Linked DNA regions of Oryzias latipes. The main gene of each other region encodes a partner of the protein of the gene in region 2 in a complex. Links are inferred from orthologs where the notes say so. Each region holds a gene or a part of one and is shown on either strand. Other genes may lie near its edges.

What was found. The genes of interacting proteins can lie anywhere in the genome.
Region 1: strn3 (region 2) and stk26 share a complex: the UniProt entries of both Homo sapiens proteins name them as parts of the core of STRIPAK complex. The link is inferred for Oryzias latipes from reciprocal best matches to the Homo sapiens genes STRN3 and STK26.

Annotation. Positions count from the first base shown.
Region 1 is NC_019876.2:4,716,652-4,725,127, reverse strand, and holds the start of stk26 (serine/threonine-protein kinase 26), read left to right. Parts: upstream 1-3,179; 5' UTR 3,180-3,392; coding exon 3,393-3,413; intron 3,414-8,476. Other genes in the region: palmitoyltransferase ZDHHC3, read right to left, coding at 1,406-1,530. UniProt on the Homo sapiens protein: Serine/threonine-protein kinase that acts as a mediator of cell growth. Modulates apoptosis. In association with STK24 negatively regulates Golgi reorientation in polarized cell migration upon RHO activation.
Region 2 is NC_019880.2:2,597,345-2,605,182, forward strand, and holds part of strn3 (striatin-3), read right to left. Parts: 5' UTR 7,732-7,838; coding exon 7,495-7,731; intron 5,582-7,494; coding exon 5,478-5,581; intron 4,836-5,477; coding exon 4,762-4,835; intron 3,536-4,761; coding exon 3,457-3,535; intron 3,305-3,456; coding exon 3,143-3,304; intron 3,072-3,142; coding exon 2,939-3,071; intron 2,863-2,938; coding exon 2,727-2,862; intron 1,741-2,726; coding exon 1,601-1,740; intron 1,517-1,600; coding exon 1,338-1,516; intron 1,226-1,337; coding exon 1,178-1,225; intron 1,028-1,177; coding exon 906-1,027; intron 791-905; coding exon 623-790; intron 363-622; coding exon 222-362; intron 148-221; coding exon 40-147; intron 1-39. UniProt on the Homo sapiens protein: Calmodulin-binding scaffolding protein which is the center of the striatin-interacting phosphatase and kinase (STRIPAK) complexes.

The DNA.
Region 1 (8,476 bases), on a different chromosome or scaffold from region 2:
CGCGAGTCTGTCTGTGTTCGGCGGATTTTTCCACTACATCTCCCATGATGCATTGGGTTAAAGTGACAGCGCAAGTCTTAGCGCACAATGAGTCCCTCCTCTTAACGTCTTAAAACAACAACGAACACAGTTTTTGAATCTTTTAACTTAACTTTTATTACATATTTTAGAAAAAACAACTGCGGCTTCCATCTTTTTCTGCCACAATTATCACAAAAATGCATGTGAGATTGCAGAGGGACTGTAGATCAATACAGACTATGAGCTTTTCCTTTTTTTCTTTTTTTTTTAAATTTTTGGATGCTGGTGTGCCGCTGGATTTTTGTCGAGGTTAAAGTGTGCCGTGGCTCAAAAAAGGTTGAAAAACACTGCTTTATTCAACCCATCAGGACGATCAGCATATACATATCGCCGAATCTTGACTGCAGCGGTGGTGCTGCGCTGCATCACGTAACATATATTCCGCTTTTTTCCAAATCGAAAAAAAAAAACAAGAATTAAGGACTAAAACCTGGTTAATATGTATTGCTTTTATAACTGACCATGGTATAAGCGGGTTAATGGCCTTCGAAGTGTGCGTCACTTCGCGTCGGACGGTTCAGGCTTCCACGGCGTGCGTTAAAAAGTAATAACCGCACACTTCGTCGGCCATTAACCCTTACATAATCCAGCCGTCCAGTTCTGATCCAGATTCCAGCTCAGACGTAGAAGGATATTAGTCGTCTACAAGTGGACGCATCGGATTGGAGCGGAGCAGGGAGGGCGTGGCCCGCCCACTGTAGCACCTACGTCACTGCTACAGGCTTTTTCAAGCCTCATTTTCTCCTGACTCACAACGATTGGAACAAAGAAATTCTCAGAAATTACATTTTAATCCGAGTTTTCTTTACATACGTCCAGCATCAAGGAAAATGTTACGAAAACATAAAAAAGAAGTACAAAAAAAAACAACAATTTTCATTAAGTGGATCTTGGAGTTGTTAAATGTTGTCACATAAAAACCGCACAGAAGAATCCGGACGGAACAAAAACAGACTTTAAACAAATTAATTCATCAATTATGTGGCCGTCTTGAGTCTCAGACATAACAAAACCCCACAAATTACTCTGATGGCTAACAATTCGATATTTCATGACCTGACAGTAACCATTATAAAAAAATCGCCCGTTGGTTGGACGAAACAATCCTCCCAGGCTCTGTTTACACCTGGATCCGCGCGTAAACAAAGCGCACGCGCACGGACACCTTAATCCAAACTCCACAAACAAACACGAAGGTTTTTCTGAGGACGGGAGTGAAGCGGAGGCTGTCGAATGAATGAAGCCCTGCCTCGAACCGACGACGCGTCGCCGTTTCGGGGCTCGAGGGAGGCGCGCGCGCCGTCACACAGACACACACACTGACCTGTCGGAGTAGGTGGGGATGAGGACATACTGGATAACCACGTAATCCGCGTAAAACACGCTGAAGTACGTCAAAATAAGGCAGATTACGCCGCACGGGTCCCGTTTACACCGCAGGAACGCCATCTTTTGTCGGGCTCCACCCACTTCTGCCCGCTTCCTGTTGACGTCAGAACAAAACCCGATGGTGCTTTCACGGACAGTAGAAAACGAAACAATATTTCTTGAGCCTCAGCATAATGAACGTTCAAAATATAAGTAGTAACTGAGGAATTTAACTAAAGTTAGCAGTTTTCTGGGGTTCGGTTATCGGCACAAAAAGTCTGCGTTGTTTGGTGAAAGCAAAATCAATAGACGTATGACAAACGACGACATCTACCCTTGGACACACAAAATGCCTGCGGGCAACGTGCATCTCGGCCACATGAATTCAATTTGTTGATTCATTTCCATCAGTTTTTGTATTTGATTGGTACACTTGAATGCGTCACGGCTCTGCTAGGGTAGGGTGGATGAAATCGATTAATCAATCTGAATCTATCCAAGCTTAATAGATCATTTATCGATCCATAAAAGTATCGATCGAGAGATCGATCTTTTTGGCCTTTCCTTTTCCGGTGACCTAACGCAAAAAAGCAGTAATGCCAAAGGCCGCTAGTTTAATGCTAACGTATAATGGAATTTCCCATAAGACGGCTATTGCTAACTCCTCTATGACTTAAACATACATTGATGACCAAATGAACAGCTTTTTATCCTCACAGACAGCAATTTTCCAAACTCTTATAACCCTTGTGCTATCCTAGGCACGTTAATCTTGGGATGGGGGTCATCTGGACCCCACTAGACAGTGCGCTGAACCTTTTTTCTTCAGTGATTTGTGATCTTCACTGGTGTCCATGGATTACATAAAATACTCTTCACCTTTATCCACCTTTGTCATGGTAGGGAGAACACGTCCAATGGAAGGGTGGAGTCATTTTGAGCCCTTAAGATAGCACAAGGGTTAAGGAAACATTATTTTAAAAGTAAATATTTGTAGTCTGGAATAAAGTGGAACGCTATGGTGGGTGCTCCACCTAGTGGCCAAACCAAACAGCCCTCCAGGAGATGCGGAACATGATGATCTGTACATTTTTGTTGGAGCTTGTCTCATGTAACACTATCTGGTGGTAACAATCTCATTGCCTTATTATTTTACTAATACATTTTACAGAACATGCACTGTATCAGAATAATACAAAAATATATCTGCAAACATATTACTACCGTATATCTATACAAATATGTCTAAGTATGTGAACTGCATAAAGTAAAAATTTAAACGCTCCATTCTCCGGTGAATCAAATTGGTTCTGGAGATTATCGGTGATACATGATGTTATTTTTGTTAAAGTCGGTATAGAGAGAGAGAAAAAATAGAATAAAACTGAAAAATTCAGACATTTTATTTTGTCGTCACATCGCCCTGTCATAGAATGAAAGAAAAATCCTACTTCAGGTGTTACTTACGTAAACAGGTGTAAATCTTTTGTATGGTAGTTTCTAGATGAGGAAAGTAGCTCTGGCGTTATCCTATTATAGTTTCCGAGCTATAGATTACTACTTGAACCTGAAGGCATCACGAGATCACGAGCTGCAGTCCTTCAGGTAGGGAGGAACACGGGGGAGAAGGCGTTACCGGTGCTCCGGCTCAGGTTGACGTCCGCCGCTGAGGCCCCGCCCCCCAGAGTGGGCGGGAACCACCTCGTCATTCTTCTGGTTTGCCCCCAAACTCTCTCTCTCTCTTTTTTTCTTCTCCTGTCAGTCTTTCGCGCTCGTGCGTCGTTGGCCTCGCTCGTCGCGGAGAACCGGATCTTTCTGTCGATTCCAACTTTACTCCCGAAGTTTTTTTTGGTTGAGGATTCGAGACGAAGAGCGGATAAACGGAAGGAGCTAAAGGGGAGAAACCTGGAGGAAGTAAAGGGAGGCCAAACGTCGAAGTAACCATGGAGGTTCCTGGTATGCAGGTGAGTCGGAAGGTGCACGCGCGCCCTCGCTTCGGGGAAATAAACATCAGACAGACCGACGAGTCTTAGCGAACATTTTTGTGTTGCGTTTAGGGACCCTTTTTCAGTGGAAAACGCAACCGCGTGGAAAGTTTTCTGAGCGAAACGCTTGACATCTTTTCTTGTTTCTTTCTTAAAAGTTGGCATTATTTGAAAACTGTGAAAATTATCGATTTGTTTTTAATTAGGGCTTTTAAATCATCACATTGAACGCATTTAGTTGAATTGAAAGCTAGTGTCTCTTTAAAAAACCTCAACAAATAGTTTACAATTTCATTTTTAATGATTGGTTTTAAGACGTTAGGCCTTAATAAAGGGCTTCAAACAGACAGCAGATATTTGTTGTTAACCTATTGACGCTTTCTGGGATACAAAAAAATCTCCATCCATATTTGACCATATATCACTTGGAGCATTTCTTCCTGTTTATATGTTAGCATTAGCCTGCAGCTGCAGATAAAACTACATTTATGTTGCATAAAGTCTTCTAAATTGATTTTGAGTGCAGATGTTTTTTTTTTTTTTTGACTTATAATTGAGTTTTGAGGGGTTTCATGGAGGGAACCTCCTTGGGTTGCACATTAATCTGGTGCCAGGCTTGTTTTTCTTTTTTTTGTCATGAAACTCCAACTTTCTCTGTGGTGACTTTAAATTTGGGGCTGGGCTTCTCCTTCAGCCTGAAGACGTTTCTTATCTGCAGGCTGTGCTCTTCTGATATCCCGTCTTTTCTATTGAGGTGACCTAATGGCTCCTTTTTCACCACCCAAGTGTTTCCACAGTGACTCACGGCGTTCTGGCAGAGTATTTTTAGCTCTGGATATTTTATTTGCTGGATTTTATAGGTTACAGATATGAAACTGGGTGTGGCTTAAGTCAGGAGTGTTTTTTTTGTAGTTGTTGTTGCCTGGCAGCATTGGTAAATATTTTTGTTGTTGGGCCTTTACAGCCTTTCCTTTAGCTTGAACTGGAACACATGGCCGTAAAACGGAGTCCAGGATTGGCTCTTCACCAACGTTGCCGTTAAGACAGGTGTGCTGGAAGAATGCCTGTTCGGCTGGCTTTCAGGTGTGTCTACCTGTGGGACCTGCTCCCTCTGCTCGCACTGTTAGTCCCAGGTGGGCGGGCCGGATGTGTCGACATTAACGCACCTGACAGCTGCTGCTGCCGCACCTTCCACCTTCACGTTCTAGCTCAGTAAAAGTGAAATAATTCAGATTGATTTAAAAAGGGAATTTTTTAGGTCCAGAAGTGATTCATGATAGCTGCAATAAGAATGGAGGACAGGTGATGCTTGACATTTGTAACACCTGGCAGGATGAACGCATTTCGAGTGGCGTTCGTCATGCAAAACCGATTTCCCATTCGACTTTAATAGGAAATTATGTAATCAGCTTGATGCACAGAAGGTAGAGGAAGAGAAGAAGACGGAGGATTTAAACCAAAGCATGGAAGGATGCAACCTTTGACAGAAAATTCCCATTTTTGCCGTAAACATAGCCTTTGGAAAGTATGCGGTTACGGTATTTGTTGTAAGAGGGAACAACTAGAACTTTGGCCTACAAATGAAATCTCTGATTTTTTTTCCTAGTCCGAATTTGATTTTCATCCATTTTTTTCTCGCGGCTTTTACTTTCTTTAACAAAAGTTACATTTGATGGAATATGTTTAACAAAAACTATTTTATTTGAACGTCTCCTTTGGAAAATTGGCTCCCAAACAAAGTTCAACTAAATATAAGCTGTTAAAATATTTTCAGCACATGTTTTGTTAGCTACCGCTAGCTTGAGCTTCTCATACAGAGAAATACTAGAACGCACTCAGCAGAACACTTTTGGTAGCAACAGCCATGAAATCATCTCCCCACAGAGACTAGGTTGACTAGTAGATTAAAATAAATTCAACCAACCAAATGATTCCATTATTTTGCAAAGAAACTAAAGGTGTTGTTAAAAAAAAGATAGTTAAATGCTAACAGAAACTATCAGATAACAGTTTTTGTCTGTATTGATTTCTAATCAATCTCTGTTCTCTGATTTTGCCGTTTTATAAAAGGTTTTATTTTCAATCACAAATGATTTGTTTGTGTTTTCCTGCTGAGAAACGCCCCCATGAGAAGAGGGTTTCAGTCCGTCACCTGTCCGTCACAAGGGGGGAGCTTCTTTCAGCTCAACGCCGGCTCTGTAACGTTGCATAGACACTAATAAACTTCCATACAAAGTGTCTGTTATAATATTTATAATGTACAGTTTAATAAATGTTCTATGACTTTAAACCGGTCCGTGTTCACATGTAGGCAACATGGAACAGCTTGTTAGTATACCTTGTTAGCATTTAGCATCGTAGCATTTAGCATTGTAGCATTTAAAATCTTAGCATTTAGCATCGTAGCATTTAGCATAGTAGCATTTAACATCGTAGCATTGTGCAAGTGTGCAAATTCAGAAAAAAAAAGATAGTTGAAAAGGATTAAAAAAAGTCAAATTATGGGAAAATGTTTTTCAGCCAACAAGTCTTTACCTGAATTCGGTTTTGAGATGTTTTCGTCAGTTGAGAATTATCCAGTTTATGCGTATTTTATGTTGTTTATACAATTATTACGTAAATGTAACGCAATTATGCATAATTTTTGCTAGATAATACACACATTTGTTTCTTTCCATGACCGTTCCGCATTTGTCTAACAGACTTTTCATGCATGTACTACCAACGTATGACTTCCATATCACGTATACGGCGCACATGTCGCGTTAGAATGACATAATGACGCACAAATCACTCATTCATTGAATATAAACAACGCTATAATCACACACGTATTCTACGTTGATTTACGTGTTCTTCGCGTGGTTTATTCGTACTTCTTCCACGGTTCTAACATGGTTCATTCGTGATGAACCACAACTTTTCTCACTTTTCCACGTACTTTTCACTTCTGAACAATTTTCATTCTTACAATATGCGCAAAATGTACATACATGGCCTTTAATTTGTTGCATACATCATTTATTTGACATCAGTTCGGATGTTTGTGTTTTGAAACTCTACATTATTAGATGTAGAATGCTTGTTTTTTTTTATTTATTGGCAGACTTTTCCTCAGTTTCGCCCAAACTTATAAATCTGATCAAAGTCACCTTCAGTTTCCCTTCAGGTGTGGACTTTTTTCCGACTAAAAAATAAAAGCTTGGGCCTACTCGGCCCCTGGACGAGTAACGAAAGCGTCTTTCCTTCCTCTTTGTCCGCCGTTGTGAAACCTCCGCTGCAGTTTCTAAAAAGCCCGTGTTGTTGTTTTTCCCAGCCGTGACGGATGCTGTGCTCGGGATTACATAACCCTGCAGAAAATGATCCCTGTTTAATATCTGAACTGTGACATTCTCGCACAAGTTTCCCAGCTGACTCCATGATGTACGATACACATGTGCACTGCTATAATGAAGCTCCTTGTTGGACTGTAGCCTTTGCTGCCTGCAGCCACATTTCCTTGTATCGGCTCATTCAGGGACTCTCACATCACGTTGATGTGCTGCATTTGCCTTTTTTTTTGGTGCAGACAGTTAAATCAAGGCCAAATCAGGGAAAGGATCTCTTTAGATCAAGTAGATCTAGAAAAATGTATTTTTAAAGCACTTTTTTTTCTTTTAGAAAGAATTGTTAAGAGTTTGTGTCAAAGACCACAGAGAGACGGTATAAACCAGGAATTAAAATAGATCAACTTAGGTACATTAACCCTTTAACACCTGAGCTGTCCTCGGTGACGATAAATAACACGCTTTCTTTGACCTACCGTAGTTCTTTAACCATTTCAGCAGTTGACGAAATTCCAATGGATTCTAAAAGCCAAGAAAAGCAGCTTTGCGCTGATGTGCAACACTTGATGATAGTGAAGTGTTGCATATCGATGCAAAGTTAACTGCGTAACGGGGGAGGAGTTGCGATAATTCAAAAAGCGCTAGTGTTAAGCTAATAGAATGCTAAATCAAAAAGATCTTCAGGTGGGTTTTAAAAGCCTCTGAGTCGATGGATTGTCGGGAAAAAAGCTTTTCTTTTGAATAATTGTAATAAATGTGATAAAGGGAGCTAATTTTATCTCAATGACTTTTGTTGAGTAAATACTTGAAACAACCCGTTGCTGACTTAACAGGTTGTTTGAAGTATTTACTCAACGGGTTGTGTGGAGTAAATACTTGAAACAACCCGTTGAGTCGGCAATCCTTGGTCAGTCTTGATCGGGGTTTCAGTCTGAAGCGTGTTTTTAAAAAACCACGCTATGGTTCCCAGGCGTTGTCGCACTGCAGCACAACCTTTGTCATCACAGCCACACAAATAAAAACCCAGAGGTCACACAGCGTTTGAGCTTCTTTGGTACAGTTGTGGCCACATGATTGTCGTAGCGCGGCTTCCATCAGACGGCGTGCACTGCAGCCGCCACAGACAACCTCATGACAACCATGTTGTCATGGTGAAATACCAATTAAAGAAAAACAAGAACCATAGTCAATAGTTTTTTAGATTGTAAACCAATTCCTTCTAACGTGGACCAATAACTTGAGTATTTTTCTGTTTTTAGTAAAATTGTGGGCTTGTCTGTACATCCTTCTGTAGTTTTAGGTCAACACAACTGCTGAGCTCTTTTATAAATCTGTGGATCTCTAGTCTTGAGGTTTTTTTTGTTGTTCTTTTTGATAATTATCTTTGTCCATATGAACCAGGGCTGGGTTTTCGTGTCAGACTAGTTAGGGTTTGACTCTAAACTAACTTTTTTAAAGATACCCACATTGCATTTAAAAGCAGAGGGAGGGGTCATTGGGCATTTATTACAGCTTTAAATGTGCAAAAACGGGCTCTTCCACTGTTTCAATTCCAGATGTTTAATTCTCAAATGCACTACTGCCAGCCATCGTCCTCCCACAGTCTTGACCATAAACGCAGTGATTTATATTATGGGCTGTGCTGTCTATGAGCAGGAACCTGGTTACATCAACTTTTTTATACACCAGAGGCCATTTTAGGATTATGCCAACTCC
Region 2 (7,838 bases):
AAAAAAGAAAGGATGGCAAAAAAAAAAAGACAGACTTACCCGTTTTGTTATCAAAGAACTTGATGTGGCGGTCCTCGTGTGCCGTGATGGTGATGGGCAGCGTGGGGTGACTCACCACTTTGTTGATGTGGTTCAGAGACGGGCCGGCTGCAGACAAACGCCAAGTTACATCGGGAGAAAACAGACGCCGCCGGAAGCATCGGCAAATGCACGGAACTTACTGCCGTCTCCTTGTCCTTTCAGCACCACGGCGGTCTGTGAGGTTTCCAAGTCGTAAATGGCCACGTCTCCTCCGTTAAAAGACGCCACCATGTGGGCGGGGTCACAGCCGTTGAAGTCCACTGACGTGGGGATGCCGTGTTCTGTGCACACAAACCTCAACAGGTTAAAAAACACTTCAGATTTCAGGCCATTTTAACTTTCAACTACTTGAGTTCCTCAGGGATCAATTTTAGGACCACTCGGTTTTTCTGTTAGCCAGAACTGCAGGGACCTGGTTGTTGGAACAATTCTTCTTTCTAACTAAACCTTTGAGCAAAAAAATACCCCCCCCCCAGATGGGGGGTGTGTGCTGCAGGGTGGGTGGGTGTGTGTGTGTGTGTGGGGGGGGTGCGCTCCTCACCCATGTCTGTGTTGAAAGTGCTGATGCAAGGCTCTTTGGCCGCCGGGTTCCATAGCTTCACCGTCCCATCGGCTGAGCAGGAGAGGAGGCGGTTCTTGATACCACTGTAAGCCAATCCCCACACGGCATCGGTATGCCCCGCCCATGTACCTGCCAGGACACTGGAGTCTGAGGACACATGGAAGGCAGACACATTCAGGCTCGTGAAAGCAGGGGGAGGGGTTTAGAAGAGTTGGGGTGTGGACGGCGGGACGCGTTCAGGTGAGGACGAATCGGTCCGTACCGTAGGTATCGTAGGGGTCGACGTTGGAGCCGGGGATGTTCCACCACTGGATGGTGGAGTCGATGCCGCCGCTGAAACACTGTTCACCTGTGGAGGTCATCGCCAACGACAACACTGGGCCCCTGAAAGAGGAGAAGGAATTATTCTAAAGATGGTTTCTAAGGAAGGTTCCCCTCCTGAATTCATCGACCCTGAGAACTAATAAATCTTCGAGTCTTCCACACGGTTCCACATTCAGAGCTTTCTGTTTGCTTCATGTTTGGAGTACGTACTCGTGTCCCCTGAAAGTGTAGATGGGCTCCACATCAAACGAGGCACTTCTGGAAAACAGTGAGAAGAACAGATCAGATCCGCTGAAGAGGCGAGCGGGTTTTCAGGCCAAGCTGATCCTAAGGACGCGCTCTGATGGGTGGGAGGGAGGAGCTGGCGTACTTTTTGGCCGGGACGGTTTTGGTGAGGTTCCACAGCTTTAGGGTGTGGTCTTCCGACACGCTGACCAGGCAAGGTTCAACGGGATGGAACGCCAAGGCTCGGACGCCGTCAAAGTGGCTCCGCAACGTGTACTTAGGATTCCACGTTTTCCTGAAGGAAGACTCCTTACTGGAAGAGAGCTGGGGGAGGGGGGAAGGAGGAACATGTGAGAACCTTCACGGGGGGTGGGGATGTCACAACACTCGTGTTTGTGGGTCTCTCACATCGTAGCCAAAGTCCACCTCGTCGTTGGTGACGCAAATGTCAGCGAGGTCGCCCAAGCCCAGCATGTTTTCCAGGGCATCGTCTGAGCCCCCCAGCAAGAAGGATTTGCCCCCACCGCTGGAAAACGGCAGAGGCTCTGCTGCAAAGACAAACTTCCGTTGGCACACACTAAAAAAGCTCATATTAACATCATCTGTTCTAATGAAACCAGTTTTGTTTCCTTTAAAGACGCGCTCTCCAGCTAGCTTACAGCCCTTCACAACCCCACCCTCACATTAGCGGTGCAGCAAAAATGGCCAACATTATCAGGGCTTCCAGTCAGTTTTCTTTCTGCTCCCGATTCACAACAATTTGAACAATGAAATGGGACTGGGTGTTACTACAACTTCCCACGATCGATTTGATTCACCAGAGCCTGGATCGACTTTATTCACAATTTTTTTTTACACTTTAGACATTTTTGTATAGAAATACATTAATAGTCTATTTATGTTTTGAAGATATTTGGCCACTAGGTGGAGCTGGCGCTATAGCGTTACAATTTATTCCAGAAGATTTGAGCAAAAGAAATTGTTGTTTTTTAATATTTCCTTAAAATAAATTGTAAAACTCCTGCAAGGGAGCAAATAAAGCTGTTTATTTAGTCAGCAGTGTTTACGTCGACCGAGTGTTAGCATTATCTGTCCTATGGGAAATTCCATTATATGTTAGCATCGAGCTAGTGGAATTTGGCTTTGCTGCTGTTATGCGTTAGGTCACCGGAAAAGAAAGACATAAAATATTAATCTTTTGTTCTTTGGTCATTGGTTTATTAAGCTTGAATTGGTTTCAGATTGTTTAATTGATTTTATTAACCTAGCCCTTCAAAATAAATACCCCAAAATGCTCAACCGTCATAAGTCCTCCTTTCTGGGAAAAAGCTTAAATAACATTTCAATTTTCATTGGAGTGGGTCTTTAGCATAATCTTTTCTAATAAAATCTGTTTATTTCTTCAGTTAAATGATTTGTTTAAAAATCTACCTTTACATAATAAAATAAGCTTTCATTCTGAATTCAAACTTGAACTGAAATTGAAGGTTTTGTCTCAGAAATGTCAAAGCTTTGGTTCAGTTCACCGACTCACCCCACTCCGTCCCGTCTCCGGAGCTCCGGGCCTCCCCCGCCCCCTCTCCATCCTCTGCCGTCACCAGGAAGTCAAACTCCTTCATGACCTCCTCTGTGACGGCTTCGTCCTCGGTGGCCAAACCCTCGTTCCCCACCTGGAGGGACCAGAAGCAGAGGAGTGAGAGGAGCCCTGGAGTTCTGCAGAAGGAGCGGTCCAGGTTTGAAACGGACCTTGGTTTTGTGTTTTTTGGCTCTGCGGTGTTTGTCCGTGCCGAGGTCGTCCATCAGGTCCGCCTCCTCGTCCTCGTCGCTGTCCTCCGCGTTCTCCAGGAAGTTGAACGTCTCCAGGTCGTCGCTGGGAATCCTGCTCACAGCACCATGCAGGTGACCCTCCACAGCCTCAAGCTGGGGACCTTCGTTTGACTGACGGCTCACCTCTTGCCGTCTTTGCAGCGCTCCGTCCCGTTGATGAGGTGCTGCAGGTTCTTGTTCTCCACTGCGCCGTTCTGCTCGGACCCGGACAGGCCGAGCAGGGAGCGGACTCTCTGAGTGCGCACGTCCAGGATGGTGTCCGTGTACCCGACTTCCTGAAGGTACCTGAACACAACACGGAGTCAAGTCTCTGCTCCTCTGCTCGCGCTGATGTGGCTCGTGAAAGATTGTGTCTCTGAGGAGCTCAGACTGACCTGGACTCTGGGAAACAGCATTTTAAAAACATGAAAGAGGGGGCGGAAGGAAGCGGGTCTTACTGTCTGAGAAGCTGCCGCCCTTGTTTCCACGTCAGCTGACTGTTGGCAGGAACCGCCGACACCTCTGAGTCTTTGGCGTCTGCGGGGCGAACACAGATAAACGCTGAGCTTCACTCAGCTGCTGCACTGCAAGGACACTACAGAACGTTTTCCTGAAATGTTCCCACGGACGGGAGCTGGTTCACTCACGAGAGGTTTGCGTTTTTCTCAGGGGAACCTGAGGGAAGTAGGGGTGTGTATTTGCAAGAGTCGGGCGATACGATACGATACGTATCCCGATATTTTACGGGAACACATTTTCTTTCTTTTTAAAAATAAAAAATATGACTTAGAAAAACTCTACCTGAATTTCAATGCGTCTTTTCATTGTAATGTAATGGTCAAATTCAGTTTATTTAATGATCATAATGTTAAGCACTGTAACTGTATCTCATACATAAGTTGCTTTTACCAAAGCAAATTCATAGAGCTTTTATTTTGGTAACATAAACTATAGAATCACTATTATTTTTCCAGAAACAATAAAGTGTGATGATGAGGCAGCATGACAGGATGAAGGAGAGCGTCTTAATGTGGCTAAGACGCTTTGTTTGCAGTCTGCACTGCAGCTCCTTCTCACACACGGAGGTCAACTAGTAACGGTTATCGCCACGACGTTGCCCGTTTTTCAGAGCGTTGTAAACGTCACTCTGCTCTAACAGGTCGCTGAACTAGAATCTATTGCTGAGAGGTTCTGCAGAACTTTGGCCCACTTTGCCGATAGCATTTTGGCCGATGCTAAGTGCATTAGATTAGCCGCTGTGCAGCTGCACTGCTTCACTCGTTTTTGTCCGAGTCCGCTAAAAAGCACCACAATTCGCGTTTTTATATGTTAATTGCAGCAACATGGAACAGAGTTATGGTTCGGTTCCCATCCCAAGTAAAAATGAAGTAGTTCATGTCGCATGACAACGAAACAAGCTGACTCTGGCTGCAGTCTTCCTGTTGTCTTGTGTGTAGAGCTCCTCAAAGAGGTTCCATGTTCTCTGCTGCCCACTAGTGGCCGGAGGTTGAAGTGGACAGCAAGAGTCAGACGCTGAAGACGCTGAAGAATAATTAAATAAATATCGTCCTGACAGTATTTTGAATCGATACGAGTATCGCCAAATGAACTATCGCGATATATCGCCGAAACGATTTTTTCTAACACCCCCTAATTAATGTATTAAAGCAGTTTTCTCATCCGATAATTAGCATTTAATCCATCAAATACGTTTAGGAAAGAGTGAAAGAAACAAGAAATGAAACTGAGGAAGACTTTCAGACCTGATTCAAAGCTTGGCATCTTCATCTCTCCTTGGTTCAGCTCTGTTCCATATTTTAACTTGTGATATTTCGCTCTAGGAGGAAGAGAAAAAAATATTATTTATTCTTACAGATGTCAACCTCAAAGATCAAGTTCAAAATCTAAAGTCGTTTCATGTAAACAGACTTTGAAAACATTGTTTTTTTAAATTGATTTCTGCCTTAAACTTTTCTTATGAATTCAGTTTTAAAGTTCTGCAAACTTTCCTAAAAACGTTTCTTTTCCTGACTTTTTCAGTCCAGTCCTTATTGCTGATCCTCTTCTGATGCCTTTCCCTCAATTTTCTGTTTAATTGTCTAAACAAAAAAATATATCTGATATGTTATGAAATAAATGTTTGATATATTTTGAATTGGATGTTCAAAAGACCAAAAGCAAAGAGAAAAATCTTAATCCTTTTAATATAAAATTCTTGTTTTTAAAAGATGAAAATGATTTTAACCACAAGGGGAATCAACTTTAAGCTTGGGTCAAGGTTTTTCACATTGATTCTGACCTGAAACTTGTTTTTCTGCTATGAAATCACTTCCAAACGAACCTAATTCTCTGTTCGTAAAGTGAAGCATTCCCTCTGGATTTTAGTCGTTTTCCTGTTTGAAGGCAGAGATTTTTTTTTCTTTGGTCTCAAACATTTAGATGATAAAATGAATAAATTGAGATGAGTCGGGGTTCCTACCTTTCCTGTTTTAAAGCATATTCTAACATCTTGATTCTTCGAACCAGATCGTTCTTTAGGTTCTCCTGGCCCTTCCTCTCCCCCTGCAGGAACGCTATCCGGGCCTGGAAAGACGCAGAACAGAAACAAATGTTTCAAAACTCTTATGTACACAAAAATATTGTGTCAAGAAAACAACCGAGTCACTTCCAGAGAAACCAAATCCTCCTGGATCTTCTCTTTATGATAGGTTTCTGAAAGATATGGGAGTCACTCTTTAAAGATTGTTTACATGGTTGTTGAGTTGAGTGAGGTCATGTGACACCTACATGAATCAGACACTGGAAAGGAGGTTCGGTGAGCAGCTCAGCCTAAATGTATGGCGATGACAAACCAGACAGAGTTCCTGTGAGTCATCGGGAGCTTCTCAACACCCCTGACCAAAACAGCACATGTGGGCTGCAGTTATTCAACCACGTCACCTCATTAAAACGCCACTGTCGTTGTGTCAGTACAGCTATTTAAGACCGACGACGTCACACTGTCAGAGTTTTGCTCTGAATTCATGTCCAGAGGAGCAAAACGTGGCTCTGGAAGCTGGAAGATACAATACAATTGATTTTTTTTTTACATTTATTTTTGGCTTTTTGAGGTTGCTGTGTAAACATCTAGTGCCATCTAGTGGCAACATTGCAGAAGAACAAAAAGACTTAAAACATGAGGAGGAAAAATTTAATAAAATCTAAAAAATGAAAGAATTCGACAGTTTCTAATAAAAAAAGAATGATTTAAAAACACATTTATTATGTAAAATATTGTGTACATCAATAACAGCGCAGACATAATGCCATAACAGGAAAAAAAAGCATATTTTGGTTAAAACTAACTCCTTTTTCCTCGTTATTATAAACCCACCAGTGTCTCCTTCTGCTTCGTGAGTTAAATTTTAAGGGAATTTAAATATCAAATCTCCAAAAGGGAGATCCATGCAGTTTGATGTGAGAGCCTGACGTTGGTTCAGGGTCACCTACTTCTATAAATATCTGATTGGACCATCCTTTGGGTTGTGACATCACAGACCAGGATCAGAGCAGAATCCTCCGGCCTCTTCATCATCCTCATCCTGGAGACTCACAATACGTTCAATGGCTCTGAGGAGTAACCTTATTGTTCAATGGTGATGAAATGATATCACTACCAACACTCTCATTTTGTTTTTAGCCTTTATTAAAGCGTCCCCCCCCCCCCCCCCCCGACAGAAACATCTCCACAGCTGAGATGATGCCAGATATTCCTTCTAAAAACCCAAAAGGGTCTGCTTCTGTCACACAAACTGAGATGTAGAAGCAGCAGATCTGCTGCTGGACACGGCAAAGCCAACACACACCTGGAGCTCCATGAAGAACATGGAGCAGCTCCAGATCCCGCTTCTCTCATCGGGAAGTCATGTTTGTTTACAGGCTGTTTCCAAGGAGAAATCCACAGACTTCAAATGGAAAATGTACAGGAATTCATGTAAATAAATAAAAAAACTGACAGCAAATAAAGACCTAGAATGCAGGAGATCTTCCAGAGGGAGGTGTGACCTGAAAGATGCTTCGCAGCCAACCAGAGAACCAGAAAAAGCCACTTTTCTATGTATAGGTTGATTAAAAAAAACCTCCAGAATCACGGATTTGAATCGGTAAGGTCATTCGTTTAGGGTCGTCTGACTGTCACGAACAACATCTGACCAACATCTGGTCCAAATGTCAAAACAGCACGATTAACGTATCCACGGCGGCTGCAGGCTCCCGATATCTCAGTTGAGCCACGGGCTCCAAAGCTAACGGCCAACGCACTCAGACTCCCGGCTGGATAACAGACCTCCACGCCGGTTACTCGTCCCCCTTGACATGTCAGTGGGGCTCCGGTCGCTACCTTAAATTCACGTTAATACGTATACCGATAAAAGGTTATTTGAGATCCCCGGTGACTGTGGAAAAAAAGAAGCTAACCATGCTAATGCTAAGCAGCTAACCCATAGCGACGGACTAACCTGGAGTTCGGCCCGCTCCACCTCCCAGTGCGCCCTCTCCATTTCGAACCGGGCCCACTCGTGCTGGATGTAGTGTAGAATTCCCGGGATAGTGTACTGCTGCTGTGGCCGGGCTAACTCGTCCGTCTGCTGGGGCACCATGACCGTTCCGATGGGAGGTCCGGAGTTGCTCCCGTGCTGCTGCAGCGGCGGCGGCCGCGGGGAGGCCGCTCCTCCCCCGCCTGGGTGTTCGTCCATATTTCGGGTTTTGTTAGAACGTGCGGCGCCGTTTGTACTTAATGATTAGCTAACCGATTTTAAATATTAAAGAAGGAAAAAAAAAGGCGCCGAAGGCCTCGCGCGTC